4 linked regions of the Schizosaccharomyces pombe genome follow. The gene in region 2 interacts genetically with the main gene of each other region. Each region holds a gene or a part of one and is shown on either strand. Other genes may lie near its edges. The genes, in order: med7, arp6, mub1 and mcl1.

The links.
Region 1: mutations in arp6 (region 2) and med7 together harm fitness more than expected from each alone (negative genetic interaction), as found in Schizosaccharomyces pombe (2 studies listed by BioGRID).
Region 3: mutations in arp6 (region 2) and mub1 together harm fitness more than expected from each alone (negative genetic interaction), as found in Schizosaccharomyces pombe (2 studies listed by BioGRID).
Region 4: mutations in arp6 (region 2) and mcl1 together harm fitness more than expected from each alone (negative genetic interaction), as found in Schizosaccharomyces pombe (2 studies listed by BioGRID).

The regions. Positions count from the first base shown.
Region 1 is NC_003423.3:4,170,660-4,176,302, reverse strand, and holds med7 (mediator complex subunit Med7), read right to left. Parts: upstream 3,944-5,643; 5' UTR 3,662-3,943; coding exon 3,416-3,661; exon of another isoform or gene 3,350-3,415; coding exon 2,465-3,349; 3' UTR 2,305-2,464; coding exon of another isoform or gene 856-2,304; 3' UTR 515-855; downstream 1-514. Other genes in the region: SPOM_SPBC14F5.10C (ubiquitin-protein ligase E3), read left to right, coding at 1-51; adenylosuccinate lyase Ade8, read left to right, coding at 856-2,304; ubiquitin ligase Doa10, read right to left, coding at 4,818-5,643.
Region 2 is NC_003421.2:1,209,893-1,214,165, forward strand, and holds arp6 (Swr1 actin-like protein Arp6), read left to right. Parts: upstream 1-2,046; 5' UTR 2,047-2,115; coding exon 2,116-2,195; exon of another isoform or gene 2,196-2,266; coding exon 2,267-2,381; exon of another isoform or gene 2,382-2,453; coding exon 2,454-3,464; 3' UTR 3,465-3,767; downstream 3,768-4,273. Other genes in the region: nmd5 (karyopherin), read left to right, coding at 1-1,197.
Region 3 is NC_003423.3:3,766,106-3,771,793, forward strand, and holds mub1 (armadillo-type fold protein, zf-MYND type zinc finger protein, Mub1-Rad6-Ubr2 ubiquitin ligase complex Mub1), read right to left. Parts: upstream 3,880-5,688; 5' UTR 2,873-3,879; coding exon 1,148-2,872; 3' UTR 501-1,147; downstream 1-500. Other genes in the region: mediator complex subunit Med10, read right to left, coding at 1-176; protein Cwf4, read right to left, coding at 4,928-5,688.
Region 4 is NC_003424.3:3,282,495-3,287,476, forward strand, and holds mcl1 (DNA polymerase alpha accessory factor Mcl1), read right to left. Parts: upstream 3,259-4,982; 5' UTR 3,252-3,258; coding exon 3,060-3,251; exon of another isoform or gene 3,015-3,059; coding exon 2,863-3,014; exon of another isoform or gene 2,805-2,862; coding exon 701-2,804; 3' UTR 510-700; downstream 1-509. Other genes in the region: SPOM_SPAPB1E7.01C (uncharacterized protein), read right to left, coding at 1-211; DNA-directed RNA polymerase III complex subunit Rpc82, read left to right, coding at 4,108-4,173, 4,253-4,982. UniProt on the Schizosaccharomyces pombe protein: Has a role in regulating DNA replication complexes. Acts as a regulator of post DNA replication initiation. Associates with chromatin during G1 and S phases of mitosis. Required for the transcriptional repression of the outer repeats of the centromeric region.

The sequences.
Region 1 (5,643 bases), on a different chromosome or scaffold from region 2:
CTTCAAGAAAGTTGGTGGTATCGTGTTGGAAGTGCTTGCACCATTGCTTGAGTTTTAATTGTAGTTGAAGTCGCGCGCCCTTTGTATGGGCCATAAAATATAGCCTTTGATTTACTGAAAGGTTATCTCGAAAACGATCAAAATACATCTAATTACCCTATACAAATGAGCACTTAATTCTTGGCATCTGAGAATATCTGGGGTTGATTGTCATGAATATTTCTTTGACCAATTTAAAAACACCCATGCCAATACAGCAAGAATTCTCTTTTTGTTTCACACTTTATTTAATAGTTGATGTTTGCAACTTTTAATATTTATTTTTCTTGATGGTTTTTTGTTTATTACTTTTTCACTGTGAAGATATTTTAATAGTATAATCCAAAATAATTTTGGTTTTCGTTATCTGCTGATGAAGTAGATTTTGGCATTATAGAGAAATTAATTTTCTGCTCTTACTAGTTCACATTTCATATTCACTAGTTTAAGAATACAAGTTTCAATTGACGAAGTGGTCTCTGTCTTTTTCTTACTTAGGCATTGGTTAAAGTAAATTTATAACCCCTTTTGTAATATTGCTAACATATGTGGAAAGGCACCTTTACTCCTCTATACTTGATCTTCAATTGATTTGCTTGGTGGGTTAGGTGAATACTACATATGAAGCATGGAGGCACAATAAATTATCGTTTGATTTTTCATGCGCGTTAACTAATTAATATGGAAATTACAAAATAATAAATCTGATGGTCTTCTCAAGGTGGAGCATTTGTAGAGCACTACTTAGTGTTGGTTCCTCACTGTCCATTCACCACAACAGGTAGAAATTTTTTGGCGAGCTTAAGATTATCGAATATGGAGGATTATGGTTCATATAGTACACCATTGACAGCAAGATATGCTTCTGCTGAAATGTCTCATCTCTTTTCAAGAGAAATGCGTATTAATACTTGGAGACAATTGTGGTTGAATCTCGCCATTGCTGAAAAGCAACTCGGTTTAACTCAAATTACTGATGAAGCTATTGAGCAACTTAAAGCGCATGTCAAAATTACAGCTCCAGAATTTGAAATCGCTGCTAAGGAAGAGAAGCGTCAGAGACACGATGTTATGGCTCACATCTATACATATGGTCTTGCTGCTCCTGCTGCTTCTGGTATTATTCATTTGGGTGCTACTAGCTGTTTTGTAACCGATAATGCTGACTTGATTTTCTTACGCAGCGCCATGGATCTTTTGATCCCTAAGTTAGTCAACGTTATCAATCGTCTTAGCCAGTGGTCTTTGCGATACAAAGACATTCCTACTCTTGGGTTTACACATTATCAACCAGCTCAATTAACTACCGTTGGTAAGCGTGCCACTCTTTGGATTCAAGAGCTTTTATGGGATTTGAGAAATTTTGTAAGAGCTAGAAATGACATTGGTTTCCGTGGTGTCAAGGGTACCACCGGCACTCAGGCTTCCTTCTTAGCCCTTTTTGAGGGCGATCATGCCAAGGTTGAGGAATTGGATAAATTGGTTGCCAAGCTTTCCGGTTTTGATAACGTTTATCCTGTAACCGGCCAAACCTATGATCGTAAGATCGATATTGACGTTTTGCAACCATTAGCTTCTTTCGGTGCTACTGCTCATAAGATTGCAACTGATATCCGTCTCCTTGCTAATTTGAAAGAAGTAGAAGAGCCATTTGAGGCTGGTCAAATTGGCAGTTCTGCTATGGCTTACAAGCGTAATCCAATGCGTTGTGAACGTATTTGTTCTCAAGCTCGTTATATTATGAACTTGATTCCTAATGCTCTTAATACTGCTTCTGTTCAATGGTTTGAGCGTACTTTGGATGATAGCTCTAACCGTCGTTCTCTGTTACCTGAAGCCTTCTTGTTTACAGATAGCGTTCTTAAGATTCTATTGAACGTTATTTCTGGTATGGTCATTTATCCTAAGGTTATTCAAAAACACATTCGTGCTGAATTGCCCTTCATGGCCACTGAAAACATTATCATGGCTATGACTAAGCACGGTGCTAGTCGTCATGAGTGTCACGAGCAGATTCGTGTCTTGTCTCATCAAGCTGGCCGAGTAGTCAAGGAAGAGGGAGGGGATAACGACTTAATTGAGCGTATTAAGAATACTCCTTATTTTGCTCCTATTTATGATGAGCTAGATTCTTTGTTGGATGCATCCACTTTTGTTGGACGTGCTCCCGAGCAGACTGAATCCTTTGTAAATAAGGACGTCTCTCAAGCGCTTGCGCCTTTCAAGAGCATGATCACTGAGGAAAAGGTTGATCTTGCCGTTTAAATATAAATTTTGGTTTGCTTCGTAGTGGATACGAACTTTTTTGATTTGTTTAAAATAGAAAGAATACATTTTTTTCATCGTTAGTATGAATTTTTGTTTGTAAAACAAATATTAAAAGCAGAGGAAATAGCAAAATAACTCTACTAGATAAACCGGTTTATTAGCTAAGATCTCGTTTTATCACGTCTTCCATTAATTCAAGCGATTTTTTTAATTTCTCGTCATTTTTTGAGAACATAGACCTAGACTTTTGCTCATCTTCAGCGCCTGACAATGGCTTTTTTATTGACGACTTTAATTGTTGAATCACATCTCCTTCCTTCTCCATATTAAAATCTAATGATTTGTACTTTTCCAAAGTTTCGGTCATTTGCCGGTTATGAGTACGTAATAGCTCAACCTGCGACTCTTCATGTTTTAATTGTTTTTCTAAAAGCATAATTAAAGATTCACGAGATTGGTGTGGACGATAGTCATTAATTAAATGATGGAGATTGAGCAGCAACACCCTAATGTTTTCAACCTTAGAAGGAAACTGTTCGGGTGCCTTCGCCATAATCCCTAGGAGTTCAAGAAAGTTAAGCATAAGTGAGCGGGATAAAAATCGTAGTTCATAAGCTCGCCGGGGAATTTTTATCAAATCACTCGTTTCTCCATCCTTTGATTTTTGATCTGCCCGGAAACCTTCGTTTACCGAAGAAGCTGAAACAGCTCCAGTATCTTGAGAATCTAAAGGTTCCTTCATTTGTATATCCTCCTCTTCCTTTTTAAGAGAGGGCTCAGTCTTTTCCTCGACATCTTTCATTGTCTTATCAGATTCATTATCTTTTTCTTTCATGGCCGTATGTTGATCATCCTCCAGAATTTTTTCATTTTCAATTGGTGAATTTTTATCATAATCGTGTACACGAGTAAAACTAGTACCAACTATCGCATTGGATTTAGGATCATATTCTACCACTTCAATTTCATCTTCTCCATCTTTTATATCTTTATATAATTCAGGGATTCCAAATTCTTTGAGTGAAGGTATAGCTTCGTCTAGCTATAAGCGATATAAGTTAGTGAGAGATGAAAAGCAGCTAATGTAAAACAATAAAAATAAACTTACCCTCCATGTGTCACCAAACATTTGATAAGTCCCAGATGTGAGACATGACGGCTTCTTAAACAGCTTGGCCAGCGACTCTATTTCTTCTTCAGTCTTAGGTTGTAAAGTATTCGCGTCATCCTCATGTTTTGCTTCTTTCTCCATATTTGAAATTACTTTTTCTATGTTTTCTCTTGTAAATAACTTATAATATGGAGGTGGAGGCGGAAAAGCCGAAAACAGTTGTACTCCTTCGTTTGGTTCCATTCTCTTTTAGTTAAATAGTATTTATCGTAAACTAGATTTTAGATTGATGTAACTGTCTTCCCTTTTATCGCTGATTCTTAGTATAAAAATGCCTGCTCTTTTTTTTTCTTTTTTTTTTTAGAAAAGCAGTTTCTATAATGTTAAGAAAACCGTAATTGAACAACGATATGACGCTCAATAACTGATTGACATGAAAATCCTGAATATAAAAACACTTGAAAATAACCGATCTTTTGCTCAAAATGGATTTTGGAATAGTCAGTAAAAGTGGGTAGTTTTATCTGGCATATGGAATACGAAGTGAAAGCTTCTATCACCAATAAATTTTGCTATAAATTGTTTATTTCGATATCTTTAATCATTCTTGGTTTTAAATTAGTTTCACTGATTAAAGTAGCTTAAAATTATACACTTCTTGGCTTTTTTAATTTTTAGAGAATTGCAGTGTTTCTTTTAACAACACTGAATTATTCTTTTTAATAAATGGGCTTGGAAACGAATTAAGTAGGAGTTTATTACTTGTAATATTACAGCTTATCGCTATTGTTGAATGCCATAAAATCCTTAACATGAATATTTTACTAGGCCAACATAATCGTAAAATTTAAATTGATTAAGTGATAAAGTATTTTGATATTCCTCTATACGAAGGATTAGTTAGTATTGAATGGATTACAAAATCAACACATGCAATACTACGAACTTTTACATTTTCATAAATTTGTCACATAACCGTAGTAAACATATTTGTTATAACTGTTTCTTTTTAGTAATTAACTAATTTATCCATTGCTAGTGATTGTCTGCAAATTTTCGCTGCTACGGTTTGATACAGTCATCAGATACATCAAAGAAATTCAACGATAATTGATATTTGTTCAATTTTGTAAAGAAAATTAAATAAATAGCACCATATCATGATAATACCAGTTACGATAAATTGGATAAGATGCCTGGCAATATAACAATAACAAACCAATTGTTCAAACGATGACTTTTTGTAATTTCCTGCAACTAAACTAACAGTTTCGTAGCAATTAAAACAAAAACATCATTCAAATAATATACATTCACAATGCTCTATATTACTTCAGATGTCCTCGCTCCAGTTTTCCAAAGAGAAGGATAATCTGAAAAATAGTAGATGACTAGACTTTTATTTTTCGGCAGACTCAGAAATGGCTGGAGGAGCAGATTCGCCAAAGTTGTGCAGTCTCGTACCAACTAAGTATAAATCATCACGTATTCCTTGCGACCATTTACTACTAGTTTCTACAAAACGGCGCCCCAAGAGTGCTAGCCCAAGTAATGCTAAAAATATAGGATGCATCAACCGATACATAAGGGTTTTAGATGCAGAAGGGAAAATGGATGAAAGAAAAGGATAGGTTACGTAAGTAAAAACACTTGGCAACACAACGGCGGCTATTAAGGCTGATGTAAAAGGGATGAGAACATTTTTTAATAATGGAAGAATTTGAGGATTCGTCCATCTATCACGAAAAGCATCTTGAAACAACCTTGAAACGAAACGCTCTTCATTAGAAGTCACAGTAAAATATATCATACGAAGCATAAAAAGACCAATCACCCAGTTTTGGAATGCATCGAGAGCAAGAGTCCCTCTGTTAAATATCGTTCGGAAAGGTATAGCGACGTATAATTCCCATATAGCTCCAAGTAAGAGTGGTAAGATAAATATTCCAAGGAATGCTAATAAAAGATATTTTAACGCCATTACTAAGCTCCTCATAACAATTTTTAAATTTAGTTTATTCATAAGGCTTCGTAAATAGTCAAGTTTCAGAAACTTAACAGACGCGTGAATTGCATACATTGGAAAAGAAATAGAGTAAAATCCAATGGCGTAAGCATAAAAATCGTGCTTTACCACATTAGGAAAGCACCAAGCATAAATAGCTCTTCCTAATGAAAGTGGAACAAACACTAACAATACTGTCACAAGTGTTGAGCATATCCAA
Region 2 (4,273 bases):
ACAATGATTTTAAGTCTCGAGAACACGGTTGATGTCTTACGTGAAATTGAAGCAATCTTACTTCCAATGATTAATTTTGTATTAGATAACAACATTTTTGACGTGTATGCAGAGTTGTTTGAAATTATCGATGGTTGCACTTTTGCTTCTAAGGAGATATCCCCTATTATGTGGGGCGTGTATGAAAAGCTTCAAAAGGTGTTGAAAGAGTCTGGCATTGAGTTTGTAGAGGAGGCAACTCCTGCCTTAAGTAACTTTATCACGTATGGTGGAAAGGAATTTGCTTCCCGTCCTGATTATATCGCCGTTATGGTTGATATTATCATGCAAGTTTTTAATAGCGAGCACCTGGCCGTCAATGACCGTGTTTCGGCTTGTAAACTAACCGAACTTTTAATGCTTAATTATCGTGGCCTTTTGGATCAATATGTGCCTGCGTTTATTGAGGTTGCTGGTAATCTCTTACTTGTAACTGAAAAGCCAACTTCTCAAACATACCGCGTATTTTTGTTGGAGGTTATAATCAATGCATTATATTATAACCCATCGATGTCTCTTGGGGTACTTGAAATGCATCAGTGGACTTTACCATTCTTTGCGTTATGGTTTGAAAATATACCTTCGTTTACTCGTGTGCATGATAAAAAGTTGAGTTTGGTAGCTATTTTATCGGTAATTTCACTGGGAGCTCAACAAGTTGCTGTTGCTATCCAAGACTCTTGGGGTAATATAATGAAAGTCATGATAACTCTTTTAAATACACTACCTGAAGCATTAGCTGCTCGCGCGGAATTAGAAAAAGAGTATGACGGTGAAACATTTAATTTATCTGGCTCTGGTTGGAATGATGGCATCGATTGGGAAGCCGATGATGATGAGGGTGTCGATGACTTTGCCGTCGAATATGGGGGACCTGATTTGGGTGGAGAAATCTCGGCTGATGTGGTTGACGATTTTGACGAATTTGAGCATTTCCAAGGAAATTACTTGTTGGACGAGGATCCTCTTTTCCATACTTTGTTAGATCAAGTTGATCCATTTTCACTTTTCCAAGAGTTTATGGTTCATTTAAAGGACAACAGCCCTGTCACATTACAAGATCTTGTCAAAAATTTGGAAGCATCCGAGCAGCAATCCTTACAGAGATTGGTAACTGAAAAACCCTCTACCCTTGCTGTCGCTTCCGATAAAACATGAGCCTGTTTGGCGCTCTAAGCCTGTCCAATTTTGGTAATAAAATATAAAAATATAAAACAAGCATTTTCTACACAGTGGTAATAAGCCAAACTGACATATTTGAACGGCTCTTTTTAAATGGGAAATCAAACTCTACGGGTTTGTAAAAATAATTTCTTCAATGAGATACGACCCGGAATTATGGCTTGGGAAAAATGGATGGAGGGTTTGTCTAAAGGGAAGGCTAAGAAAATTATTGTTGTATCGGTTTACAGTTCGGTGAAAACAAACGCAGAGGTGTGTTTCTTTTATAAGAATTTTGGAACGCCAATTGATTAAATGAAATTTAAAATCATAATATACCAGTTAATAAATATGAGAAGTTTTAAAATCGATTAATACTAGTTCATTTGCTTTTACTTTATGCGAATTGACAAACGCAAGTTGATGAGAAAATGAAATAGAAATATATTTTTCTTGAGGAAATAAGCATAAAGTTAAGTATCCACGATTTAGTAGTATAGGGAAAGTCGGTGTTTATGAATGGTATATTAGATGTACGTTGAATTAAGCAGCTAACTAAATTGATAACGGCTAGTTTAGGGGTTGGATAATATGATAAACGGCTTTTACAAACTAAATTTGATAGACAGCCCCCCATTAACGATGTTGTTATATTGATAAAGCTAAGATTTGCAAGATTTATCTTTAAAGTTATTTTAAAAAGATATCCTTCAAATTTATGATATTATTAAAAATATCATAAATATCTTTAAGAGCCAGCGTTATTATACTATTGCTTCAAACTGTAATGATATTGTTGTTATAGCACAACGCTATCATATAACAGCATTCCAAAGCCGTAACAACAGTACATTTAATCGCGGTTTTTGGGTGAAGTTAAGACCTAAGATATAGGAATACATTTTTATTAATAATATGGGACTACCCCCTAAAACTATTGTTTTAGACAATGGGGCATACCATATAAAAGCTGGATTTGCAGGTGGAAAAGTTGTGTAAGAAGAAGTGCATCACGTCAATAAATTTCATGTATCTTTTACTTTTTTCAGCTAACGATAGTTTTTAGTGAAATTCCGAATTGTTTGACGAGATCAAAAGATGGAAACAGATTATTTTTGGGGAATGAATTGGCCAACTGTAACGACTTTACAACTTTACAATTTCGCAGGGCGCATGAAAAGGTACAGCATTTATGAGGGAGTATTATTTACGAACAAAATAAATACAAAGATTATGTTTACTAATACTAGTAGGGGTATTTGGTCCATTGGAGCACAGAAACAGCCGTATGGGACTTGGTAATGCGCAATGTAGGTGTGATGGAACCTAGCATGGCAGACTATTCTTTACTGCTTACACAGCCCGTATTTACAATGCCTTCCATAGAACACAATACTATACAACTCGTGTTTGAGGAATTCCAATTCGATGCTTACCTCCCTTGCACCCCAGCTGAGCTAATTCCTTGGGATCATGGAAGTTTCACAATGAATCAAGAAGATGCGTATACTGGTCAACATGGAGAATGCGTTTTGGTAATTGACTCTGGATATAGCTTTACACACATAATTCCTGTGATTGATTTCTCTGTTCAAGAACAAGCGGTAAAGCGAGTTGATGTGGGAGGGAAATTACTTACGAATTATTTAAAAGAAGTCATCTCATACCGGAAGTACAATATGATGGAAGAAACATACATTGTTAATGAAATTAAAGAGTCCGTTTGTTATGTGTCTCAAAACTTCAAGGAGGACATGGAGATATGTCACGAAAAACCACGGTCAAAATTGGAAATTTGTTATGCTTTGCCCGATTACAGCACTGGAAAACATGGATATATTGTTAGAGATATTAATCAAAAAATAGAGCAACAAGTTTTGAATCTTTCAAATGAGAGATTCATGATACCAGAATTATTATTTTCCCCATCTGATATCGAAATACGTGAGGCTGGGATTCCAGAGGCGGTCATGCAAAGTGTCACCCACTTTCCTGAAAATATACAGGCAATGTTGCTTGAAAATGTTGTTACAATAGGAGGAAACTGTAAATTTCCCGGATTTCATAAAAGACTATCATCTGAATTACGGTCGCTGGCACCAGCTAATTGGGAAGTTAAAGTTTTTGAACCTTCAGATCCTATTTGCTTTCCATGGAAAAAGGCATCTCATATGCCGTTGGAGCACTGGAATGCGAATAAAATAACTCGTTCTGAGTACTCAGAACATGGAGCAAACATAATGACACGAAAAAGGAGAATATAATAGATCACCATTTTAAAACTCAATAATGTGGGTTAAATTTCTATCTTCACAAAATTCTCAAGGCGAGCTGATAATTCGCATCTTAAGAAATTGGTTTATTACATTAAGGCTACAGCAATATAAAACGAAAAATATGCATGCATTAAGAATAAAATCTTTTTATATTAATTAACGAATCATTCTATCTCTTGATCAACCACTAAAACAACAGCTAAATAACTATATCTTTATTATTGTCGCCAGGATAATTCATACCTAAAAAGCGTTAGCGAAATGAAAGATATTATAAAAAAGATAGGAATGAAAATCAGTATACAAGTATAAAAATTTAACCACATAGTTGTGTCTTCAAGACTAATCGATTTGTAAAGCATCATATGTAACATTCTATCTCTTCAAGTGTTTATACTTACATATTATTAATGTGCCTGAAAAACAAGATTGAAAAAAAAGAAAAATTTCAGCACTTCTTCACTACTGTTTCAAGTGCATTTTATATGTACAGTGCAGTTTCAGGTTGACAGTATAAGAGTTAAAGCAACCTTGAGTTAGAGCAGTCACGGTATACTACTTTAATTAGAATGTAGCGCGTTGCGTTGCAATGTAGTCGTGTCGCGTCTGTTTACATTTTGGATAGAAAGAGCTTTTCGTGAAATTTTGTTGCTTCTGTTGGATAAATTGTTCTTTTTCTCAAGTTAATCATATAATTCAGTAAAGGAAAACTGTGTAATAAGAAGAATCGAGATCCCAAATTATTTCTGTTGAGCCTTGTTCATGGGCTACATATATTTTCCCTCACATTTTCAACA
Region 3 (5,688 bases), on a different chromosome or scaffold from region 2:
GGAAGAGATTTGAGATCTCTGATAAGAGTATCAAGGCTTTCAGGAATGGCATCAGATGGAGTAGTATCTTCAAGGTTATAAACGATCAATGCCAAGTCATAAAAAGCCTGAGTGGTGTCTTCTAAACGGCTTGCCAATGATTTCATTTCATCAGTCATGTCATCTTGGGGCAGCATTTCGAAAACCAAAGATAAAAATAGGTTTAAAGATCAATTTAATGCAGCACAAGTGCACTGAATACAGCAGCCTTCAATTTATTGCTGTCTCAACTGTATAATGGTTATGCTTAAACTACGGTACTTCTTCCAGTTCACTATTTGCAAGTGAGTTGGTTTAATTTTATAGTAATAAGCAAATTACAAAGTCTGTTCTACTAATAGAGAAATACTGAATTCATTATAATATTGATTCCTCCTAAATGTTCTATAAATATTAGCGTCAACAGACAAGATAACTTGAAATAATACTTTCGTTTAGTCAATTTAGCGAAAGCATCATTAGTACGATCTATTTCTTGACTTCCAGGTATACAAGTACAAAAAGCTTTAGCCTTCATGCAATATCACATCGTATTGCTTTAGCCCTGTTCATAGGTTTAACTATTCCGAAAAAGCTATGTATAATTTTTGACTAATTTATTAATAAGTAACCAAGTCAAACAAAAACAAGTTGAAAAGAAAAAAGTTTATTATTTTAAGTAAAAGCATTTAAGTTACGAGAAAAAACGATAAGCAACAGAAGGACAGTCGGAAAAGAAACTCGAAGTTTTAATAAATTAGGACAGTGGCCTCCACACCTTCGTACCTCCCTGTAGGTTTCAAAAGCTTTCATGATTATTGCCCTGCTAAAACCACACGATATCCATAATAAGAAGAACAAATCTGAATGTATCGGCAATTAATTGCATAAAAAAAGGTTAAACGATTAACTTAATTGCGAGTAAAGAGTTAGCTGAAATTCATATTCTTCACGGCACATGAAATAATAATTGATGGCAAAGGGAATTAAGGAATGAATTCAAAACGTAGTATTGAATGCCGGAAAAATGATTAAAAGAATATGTGTGACCTCCAACTGTAAGTCTATTTGAAGCGTAAGCATACCTAGTAAGAAATGGATAGAAATTGTCATTAAACTGTCATTAGTACTACAATCTGCTATCACTCTGAGTGCTTGAAGTTACAGATTCTGTTCCAACAGGAATAACAGATGCAGCCGGGGATGCTGTTGATTCGCTTTCAGTGACTGAGTTTATTTTTGAGCTCTCTCGTTTGGAATTCCTGCCATCTTTATGAATTACGCGACACCATCGACTATGTCCCGGCCATGCTTGATGCTGGCATTCTTTACTGCAATATTTTGTACGTCGGCATCTTCTGCATTTAGCAAATTGACGACTGTGCTCTTCCCATTTGTTACATAACAAATTGGCGCATCGACGTATACCACCATGACTTTCATCTTTCCGACAGTAATTATTCATGATAGCTCTGGCCCAGTATTGAACTTGTGGGGGGTAGAATTTCAAGGTGAACTGCTCGACTAACTGAAAAATATTCCACGTTTTACTGCCGCTACGTAAGGGCGACATACGTAAACTTGGAACATCTTTAGAAGACTCGAAGTAAGGACGCATATGGAAATAGTTTTTACTAGTATAAGCAAGAATTTGCAAACCAAAAAGTATATCTTCTTCACGAGGGAGTTTATTAATCTTCTTATCAAAGTTGTCAAAGAATGAGGCAATCCCGTGATAATCAACTACATTTTCGGGCCTGCGGCCATCTAATAACGCAGATGTAGAAGGAACACCAGGTAAAAGTTGATTACGACGCTGACGATTATTCAAGGCCTGTGATTGAACATTATTTAAAGACAATTGCACATCCCGTGATGAATCCTGAGTAGTAGTCATAATATTAAGCGGAGTTGGAAAGAAAAAATTTGGAGAGTCTATCTCGTCATTAATTGTCTCACTAGCAGGGCCTGTTTGACGAGAGTATGAAGGAGAAGAAGGGGTAGTCATGTTATAATTAACATTTTCAGTAGAAGTAGGAGTAGAGGGTGCAGCTGATGAAATTCTTTGAATGGTTAATGGAGAGTTTGCTTGAACACGAGGATCTTGAAATGAATCATTTGAATAAATGGAGCCGGAGGATCGATCATGACTAGTGGTAGAGCTTGATCCCAATAAATCACGATTCACGGAATGTCGAAACGTAGATTGATTTGGAAGTTGGACATCTCCACTATCCCGTAAATCCACCGAATAAACTCTTCTAGAGCTAGAGCTTGCCGTACTAGCTCCAAATGGAGATGGTACATCACCGTTGACGAACAAAGAGTCAGCAGATGAATTGTGTTGAGACACAGAATCAAGAGAATTGCTAATATTAGAATTAATGGGGAATGGAGCAGATGCGGATGATGGAGGAGGGGTAGTAGAAGGTGTAAGGGAAAATTGAAATCGAGAATGGTGAGAAACAACGGACTCAAGCGCAAACAAAAAATCATCTAAAAGGGTGACAACAATAGGAACGATACCAGCTTCCACAACACGAATTCGAATAGCTTCAGACCCACGTATCCCAACATTTACGACACACTGAAGAGCTAGCTGCCATATTGTCATTCGGGCAAATGTTTGTCCACGTCCGGCACGTAAAATATTCATTAAACGCATCAAACCACCATCCATAGTAAGGATCTCACGAATTTTCGGTGAAGTCGAAGTCAAATAAACGAGATGGCTTAATGAATTCATTAATGACATTTCGGAGTCACAGTCAAGCGCACGTCGATCATAAAGGACTGTATTGATAGTGACAGAAGCTTTGTTATTCCATACGATGCTAACGTTCGATTCCCTCATCTTTCTTTAATAATATATTTAACACGTATAAAGTTTTTTAAAGACAATTGCTGCAGTATAAATTACTGGCAAACGCAAAGATTGGCGTAAAACGAACGATGTGATAATATTTTTTTTAGTTAAAGACAAGCAGTTTTCGAATACCAAAATTTTACTCAATAATTTTCAAAACTGCTGTGTGTAAACGCAATAACCGAAGAGAAAAACCAAGAACAAACGCCGATAGCAGGAAGAATAAGTAGTGCCCCAAAATCACGAAAACGAAAAAAAATAAAAATTACTGTTTTCGCAGATTTTAAGTCCCGCCGAATTTGAAATCCTTTTAAGCAATCTACACCAATTATTCTTCAAAACGAGTAAACGTAAAAGGGACTACGGTTAGCTCAAGCTTGAAGTCAAGAACTGATAAAGGAGCAAAAAAAATACTAAAAGAAAAAGGAAGTAAGGAGCAAGGGCACTTTTTTAGCCGAGAAGCGACACAGATCAAGTAAGTTCAACAATAGGAAGTATAACAACGAAAAAGTTGTAACCCGGGGTCTGCTAAAATCACGAGGCTAAAGAAAGAGAGAAGTGGCAAACAAAAAAAACCCGAGATTAACGAAGATACAAAGAGAGAATGAATAAGAATAGTTTGATGAAAACCACAATAACCTTGAAAATAAAAATAAAGGATATGCTCAGTACCTTTTTAGACAAGATTAGTGGAAAATCAAATCACAGCTGACAAGAGTAAGAGAAGAGAGAATAGCACAAGATGATTTGCATCAATTAAAAAAGTAAAGTTCGAAGAAAAATGTTAGGATTTGGAAAAGGAAAACGGTGGTGAAGCTAAATCAGCCTTGTTGATAAACAAAGAATAAGTGTTTTCTTATAATCGCAAGGATTTAGCTTAAAAACCACAGTAAATAGTTTTTGCAAGTCCCTTAATTTTAATTGAATGAATTCTTTTTACGAAAATTTCCCGGATCCTCGTTCTCTTATTCAGATTCTTGGAAGTGGCAGTTGACAGAAGGCAACTTCATTTCACCCGAGTGTCAACCGAGTTTGAAAACGATCGTCAGTGAACGTACCTTTAAGGCACCATAACGCAAAGTATGCTGGGTTGTTACTGGCTATAATGGTTGGGAACTCTCGGCGATCTTTGATGCTGGATGTTACCTTTGAAGAGATCGACATCTCGGCAACAATAACTCAAAAAACTTGCTGCAACTTTAACTAGCAACAGTTGGTATTTCTTTCACTATAGTCAGTCATTTTTTATTCATACGAACATCTTTGTGTCTTTAAGTTTTTAGCAGAATCTGTGTATGAATTTTTTCTTTTAAGTCAAAATGTTGCCTAATACGTTGGTCGCATAAGCCGATTTTTGTATTCTGTAAATTCACTTTAGCAGAACATTTGGGTAAACCGGTCCGAATAAGCTGTCAGTGCTGAAAATAACCAATGTCAGATTTTGTAATCTCATTTGATTGACAAGTTCATCAGATCAGCACAACTCCAAACCAGCCGCTTCTTTACCTGTGAGTCCTGCCACTTTGAGTAACAAAACTAAAATTAGTCGCACTGGTAGATACTCGATCGTATGTCAATGGGGCAAGGTAAAGAACAATCAATTTATAAATATAAATATGTACATATTAAATATATTTTGGATTGGATTTTTCATTTTATTGTATTTTAATGTGTTATTTACGAATTGCGTTGGATTCTTCAAAATTGTCATGTTTACAACTTTCTCATTTCTACAAGTGTGATTCCCTCAACATAATATCCATAAATTTTTCGCTTATCTTGCTTAGTAAGTAAACTCAGATCGAAACTCAAGGTTAATAATACTAATATGGATTGCTTGTCTTATTTCTACGCGCCATTCCGGCCTTTCAAATGCAAAAACAGTTATTTTATTATTATCCGAACAGTCCAAAGCGCTGAATATCCTCAACTTCGTAACAACGTCCATTTACATGACCCATTGCCTCGTAAACAATTAATTACTAATATTTTACACGATTACTAAATATTAAACTGATAGCGCCAATAAATGTCATATGTAATCTAGGCCTCCAGCTTCTTTTTAGCCATTTCCTCTTTCCATTTTCGCGAAAGTTCGAGCATTTTGCGCATCTTATCTCCTTGATCAGTCGCCGTATCCGGAAACAGATAGTCCAAATATTCTTCGAATGAACCGTCTTCAAGTCTACGGCGTTTCTTAACAACCTGTGGCATTAGTGAAGAGACATGCTTACGTGTATCTTCCGTGCCATGCATTGCCTCAAATTGTTTCCATGCTTCAAGTAATACAACTCGCTCTTCCTTCAAACCCTGCTGGCGTAAATGGGCCAATGCATTTTCAAAAACATTTCGCGCACGCACAACAGCGGTTGGAGAAGCCACTTCTTCATTCGGTGGTTCTTCGTCATCGTCCTCCAGATGGGCAATTTCAAAGTTTGCAAAACTAATCCAAACTTTAACATGAGGTGCAGTCCGTAGTAACTGCTGGTAAATACTTCTAGCTTTTCCGTATTCCATTTCCTCGAATTCAAAATCAATATAAGCCTTCCACACAAGCTCTGGGGTTTCCAAAATAGGCTGGTTTACAGCCAAATTATATAAAGCGCGAGCACGATCACTATCTCCAAGCTTAGTCTCTAAGGCAGCGTAACCAAGCCAGGGAGCACAAGCCTCGGGATCATAAAGAATCCATTTTTCATAAAGAATTCGACACCTGTCAAACTGCTTAATTGCGTCTTCGAATTCAATATAACCTCGGAATAATTTTGGTTTTGGACACATTCCCAACGCACGACCCAACGTTT
Region 4 (4,982 bases), on a different chromosome or scaffold from region 2:
AAGTAACCCAGCTGTTTTCTGACTGGTCTTTTCTACTAGCACCCAACCCTAACCGTGGCGGCCTAGCTTGTAACGGTGGATCGTCATTTTTTTCATCGCTACTGACAGATGTATTTTCGTTTCCCAACCACGAATTGATTAAGTTTTTTGTGATGCTTATGGATGTTTGATATTTATTCAATAACACATCCGCACTCACTTTTTGTTCCATGCTAAAATTGTGTTTTCGTTTGCAGCTTGGCACTTTACAAAGTTGTACTGCACTTAGTGTCTGCAACTTTACGAACTGTAACGCACCCTAAGGCACTGAGCTTTGCAGTTTCTACATTAGATTTTATTTCATTTCAGAAAGGAAAAGAATACAAATTCCTTTGTGACTCTTTGTCATTTTAAAAAATGTTTCCACCTTTTCTTATGAATCAATTTTTTGTACCCCTGTGCAATTTCTAAATAGACTCGAAATATATGCCGAATATACTGACATATAAACATAGAGGTTATATGGTAAACAAAATGAAATGTGTTTATTAAATACAAAAATGAGAAAAAAATCAAAGTGCTAGATGCTTATATAAATGAATTTAGAAAGGAGCAAGATCGTGACAAAACTTCTGCATAGCTTTGCTTCAAACCCCTTTTGATTAGCTCAAGCTACTAATATGCAAAAAATAATGTTACATAAAAATTAAGACGTGAGGGTTTAGACGTTAGATAGTAGATTACCAATTTTTTCAGCAACATTTGTAAGGGAATGGTGGAGCGCAATCTTTTGAGCAGCAGCAATACTTGTTGTCCTTCTCAAAGTTTTTGTCAATTCATAGACACGTTCGATTCTTTCCTCGAGACAAGCCTTTTGAATAAGTTGCAACAAGGCTTTGTCAATGTTAGCTTCTAGTCTAGCAATGCTTATTTTTTCGTCCTCCGTAACATCGCCATCTCCTATGCTATCTTCCAATAAAGTCAAAAATAGTTTATTACGGAGTTGTAGTTCTTCTAAAACAGGAACAGATGTAGAAGCATCCGGATTGTTCGTATTACAAGGAATACGAAAGTCAAATTCTGTAAACATCGGACGAGGGAAATAGGGATATCGAGAGGCTCCTTTTAGCAATATACAGTGAAACTGATTATCGGCAACAGTTACAGGCCAATAAGACTCTTGCCGTGATTTGCGACGCTCCAATTCATTTGTATCTAAAACAGGGATCCACTTGGCTTGTCCTGGTATGCGCCAATGCATTAATACCAACAATACCCCAGTTGAATCGTAGATGTAAGGATCTCCAACATCCGAAAAGAAAACACTCTCTAACGTTCCTTGGGGTGGTAATGCAACCCCATCACCAGTTTGCAACATTTCATCACGAGAAATGTCTTCAATGGAATAAACAAGACGAGAATTTCCATCAGAGCTCAAACCATCGTTGGCGATGGTTATAATCGTATCCTGAAAAGATGAACAAGCTACAAATGGCAAGTGTTTACTCCTGTGAATGCTAATTGGAAAGCCTTGTCTTGAGAATACGCGAACATATCCAGCACTCGTACATACCAGTACAACGCTTGAGCTTAATGAAATTGTCACAGGACTTTCATTCTCCATGGGTAAAGCCATTGCCCATTCAGATTTACGCGACCAATCAACATGTGCTTTATAATAAATAACACCAGGTGAACTTTCCGTTGCAGGCGAAGCATACAAAGCACCTTCATGATCTAAGCATGCCATTTCAAATTTTTGGTCATCAACAAAGTGATATTTTCTATGAGTAGTTTCATCATGAAATTCAACCGTTATAGTGTTGTGTTCTGCATCTTGCTGTACAGTCCAGATAAACCCTACCAAGTTCAAACATAGATATCTTCTATTACCCTGCCATGGTGTACTTCCAGTATGAACGGGTTTATGTATTGAGGCTTGCAGTAAACGTCTTTTACTAGAACCATTCTCTATTGTTGTAGTTCTGTCGATCAACGCCTTCTGCTTTCTTTTCTTTGCAAGGTTTAAGTCGTTTTCATCAACCATATAACTATCACCATCTAGGTCCAAAGATGAATCCAATCCATCATGATTGATAAACTCATTTTCCTCGTTGGCAGAGTTCCCATCCAAATCATTGACGTTCTGACTTTGCTCATCGTCAGAACCAAAAAGATCATCAAGCTCTTTGGAAGTACGGTTTTTACTTTTTGACGAAGTCAAAGGCTTCGTAGGATCATTTTCTTCCTTCAATATTGATTTAGGAATGACATCCGGACATGAATACAAAATTCCCTGATTTGTAGTAAATGATAACACGTTTTCAAATGGCTGCCAGGCGAGTGCCACCACTGTACTATAGGGGAGCTCAACGACTACTTCATGACTTTGTGTATCCCAAATTAAAATGCCTCCTTTTTTAAATGAAGCAGCTATGTACATTCCATTACTGGACCAGGAGATATCTGTTACACCAGAATGATTCTCTTTTGGAAGAAGTTTGTACAATGGAAGCCAGTCATCAGGGGAAATAACTGATACAAAATGGTCGGTACTCGCAACTGCAAATGTCCCGTTTTTAGGATGCCAAGCCGCCTTTGAGCAAATTTCTGATTCTGCCTCTAAAGAGGCAATAGTGTTTGTTAAGAACTTGATGAGTTCACGAGTTTGGGTGTCATAAAAATACAAAATTCCATTGCAACTGGAAACTGCTAAAAAATTTCCGTTCGGGCTATAAGTTACATGTTTATTCGAAGCCTTAGCTGGACGAAGAGAGAAAATTTGTGAAGAATCAGTGGACGAAACCACTTTCACTGCTGTTTCACTATATTTGTTAGGCTGAAAACGACCAAGTAGAGCATTATACACTAAAAAAAACTTACTCACTAGCTATGGCAATCCAATTTCCATCTACTGAATATGCCACATCGCGAATAGGAAGAGTAGTACGCGCCAGCAATGTATGCTCGGTAGGAGAATCGATGGGATATACGCAGACAGTTGCATCTTCTGAACAAGTACAAAAATAATTTTCCTATATAAAAGTCATTAGCTCCAAACTTTTTTGAGGACCACTTACAGCAACTGCAATTCCTGTTATAGGATCTTGATGATTATCAATGGAGTCGGGTTCCTCATCAGAACCAACCTGAAATTTTCGGATTACTTGATTAGAACCGACCGTAAGAAGAAATTTCCCATCACGAGTATACGCTAGACGCGTCAGTCCATCTGTATGGGCATATCTAGGAACTAGCCTATTCCCTGCCATAATAGCTAGAGGAAGAGTTTGTATATGAGATTGGGACTAGTATGGCAATAGCGATACTTTCGTTAGCTAGTTACGCTATTTAATGTAAACAAACATTTAAATAAAAAATCTACCACGAAAGCACTATTGAGAAATTGCAAATGTTTGTCTACAATTTATTTTCATATGCAAGTACGATTGAAAATATGCAATCCATGCTTTTAATCATCTGCTAACAATTAGAAATTAATACTAAAGTAACTTATATGTGAGACTATAGGAATAATTTAACTTTAATCATTTCAGAGCTTTTTTTAATTACTCTGAAGTTGTATTTGATGTTCCATTAGAGCAGTTCTGTTAAAAAGTTTTGAAATGTCTGCTATAAATGTTCAAACAGCCGCACAGCAATATTCTAAATGGAGGAAAAATATGCAATTAGCTATTGTCTTTTAGTATTTTAATTAATGCTTACCATGACAAGCTATAAAACAGAATCTGCAGATAAGTCATGCTTGATTAAACCACAAAAAATCAACGACATGGAAATGGAATTGAGAAACCTAGTGGAGCCTCTCACAGGAAAATTAAAAAGAAGTTAAATAAATTAATCATACAATTAGATTTCGATCATTCATTTAATACTCGCAGTAATTATATGTATGTATTTTTTCAAAAAGTAATATGAAAATCGTTTTTGCACATCGTTAAAGTTTTATTCTGTATTAGAGTGATACACTATAAATGTTAACGCTGCTTTAACGACGCACAAAATACAGGCTATTGGCATACTCTAGGTTGTGAAATCTTTGCTTTTTTGTAGTTACGTCTGCCAAACAATTTACCATTCCAAGCAAGATTGGTAATCTGCTTGATCATGTCACAGTATGCTGTAGAACTGTGTGAGATTCTCGTAGAGGAATTTTTCGGTGATTGTTGCTCGGTAAGGATTCAATTGTATTTCTAAATCTGAAGTTGAGGTTGCAAAGTCTTTTGTATTAACCAATTTATTGTCAATTTAGGCAGTAGCTAGTGCACTTTTGAGGCATGGTCGTTTAACGATTCCCATGCTACAAAAACGGACTTCGTTGCCAGGACCAAAAATTCGACAAGCACTTGTCAGTTTAATGCAGCATCATATGGTTTTGTACGTTACGGTCATTGAAAATGTACGTGAAGTCACATATTATGAGACCCAATGGAAGGAAATTTATAACATTCTTCGCAAAGGTAAAGATGTATATTTGATATCTCAAAAATTAAACCAGGAGGCTGCCTCTGTGGTAAAATATCTTAGTACCCAAGGACGTGCACGTGTACTCGAAGTATTCAATGCTTTCGATAAAAAGGTTGATGGGAGTGATGAAGAAAGCCGTATGATGCAGAAAAATCTAACGGAATTGATTTACCAAAAGTTTTTGCTAGTAGTGCAACCGAGACATTTAATACCAGTAGGAGATCAGGAAATGCAACTCCGGATCAAGCACTTAGATCGCAGAAAGTCAGAAAACGTGTCTGAAATAAAAAAAAATAGAGAGGTTGATGATTCTGTCGCCTTGGAAATGTTAGAGCTTCGTGCAGCAGATATGTCAGAACTACAAGGACTTACCAGGAAGCCAAAGGAATCAATACCACATCCAACAAAAAGAAGGAAACGTGCTGTTGGCTCTGCTCCGTCTGTATCAACGGATTTGAATAATATATTAGACGATGATAATAGCATCCTTGTACCTGATCTATCCGCGCATGTTC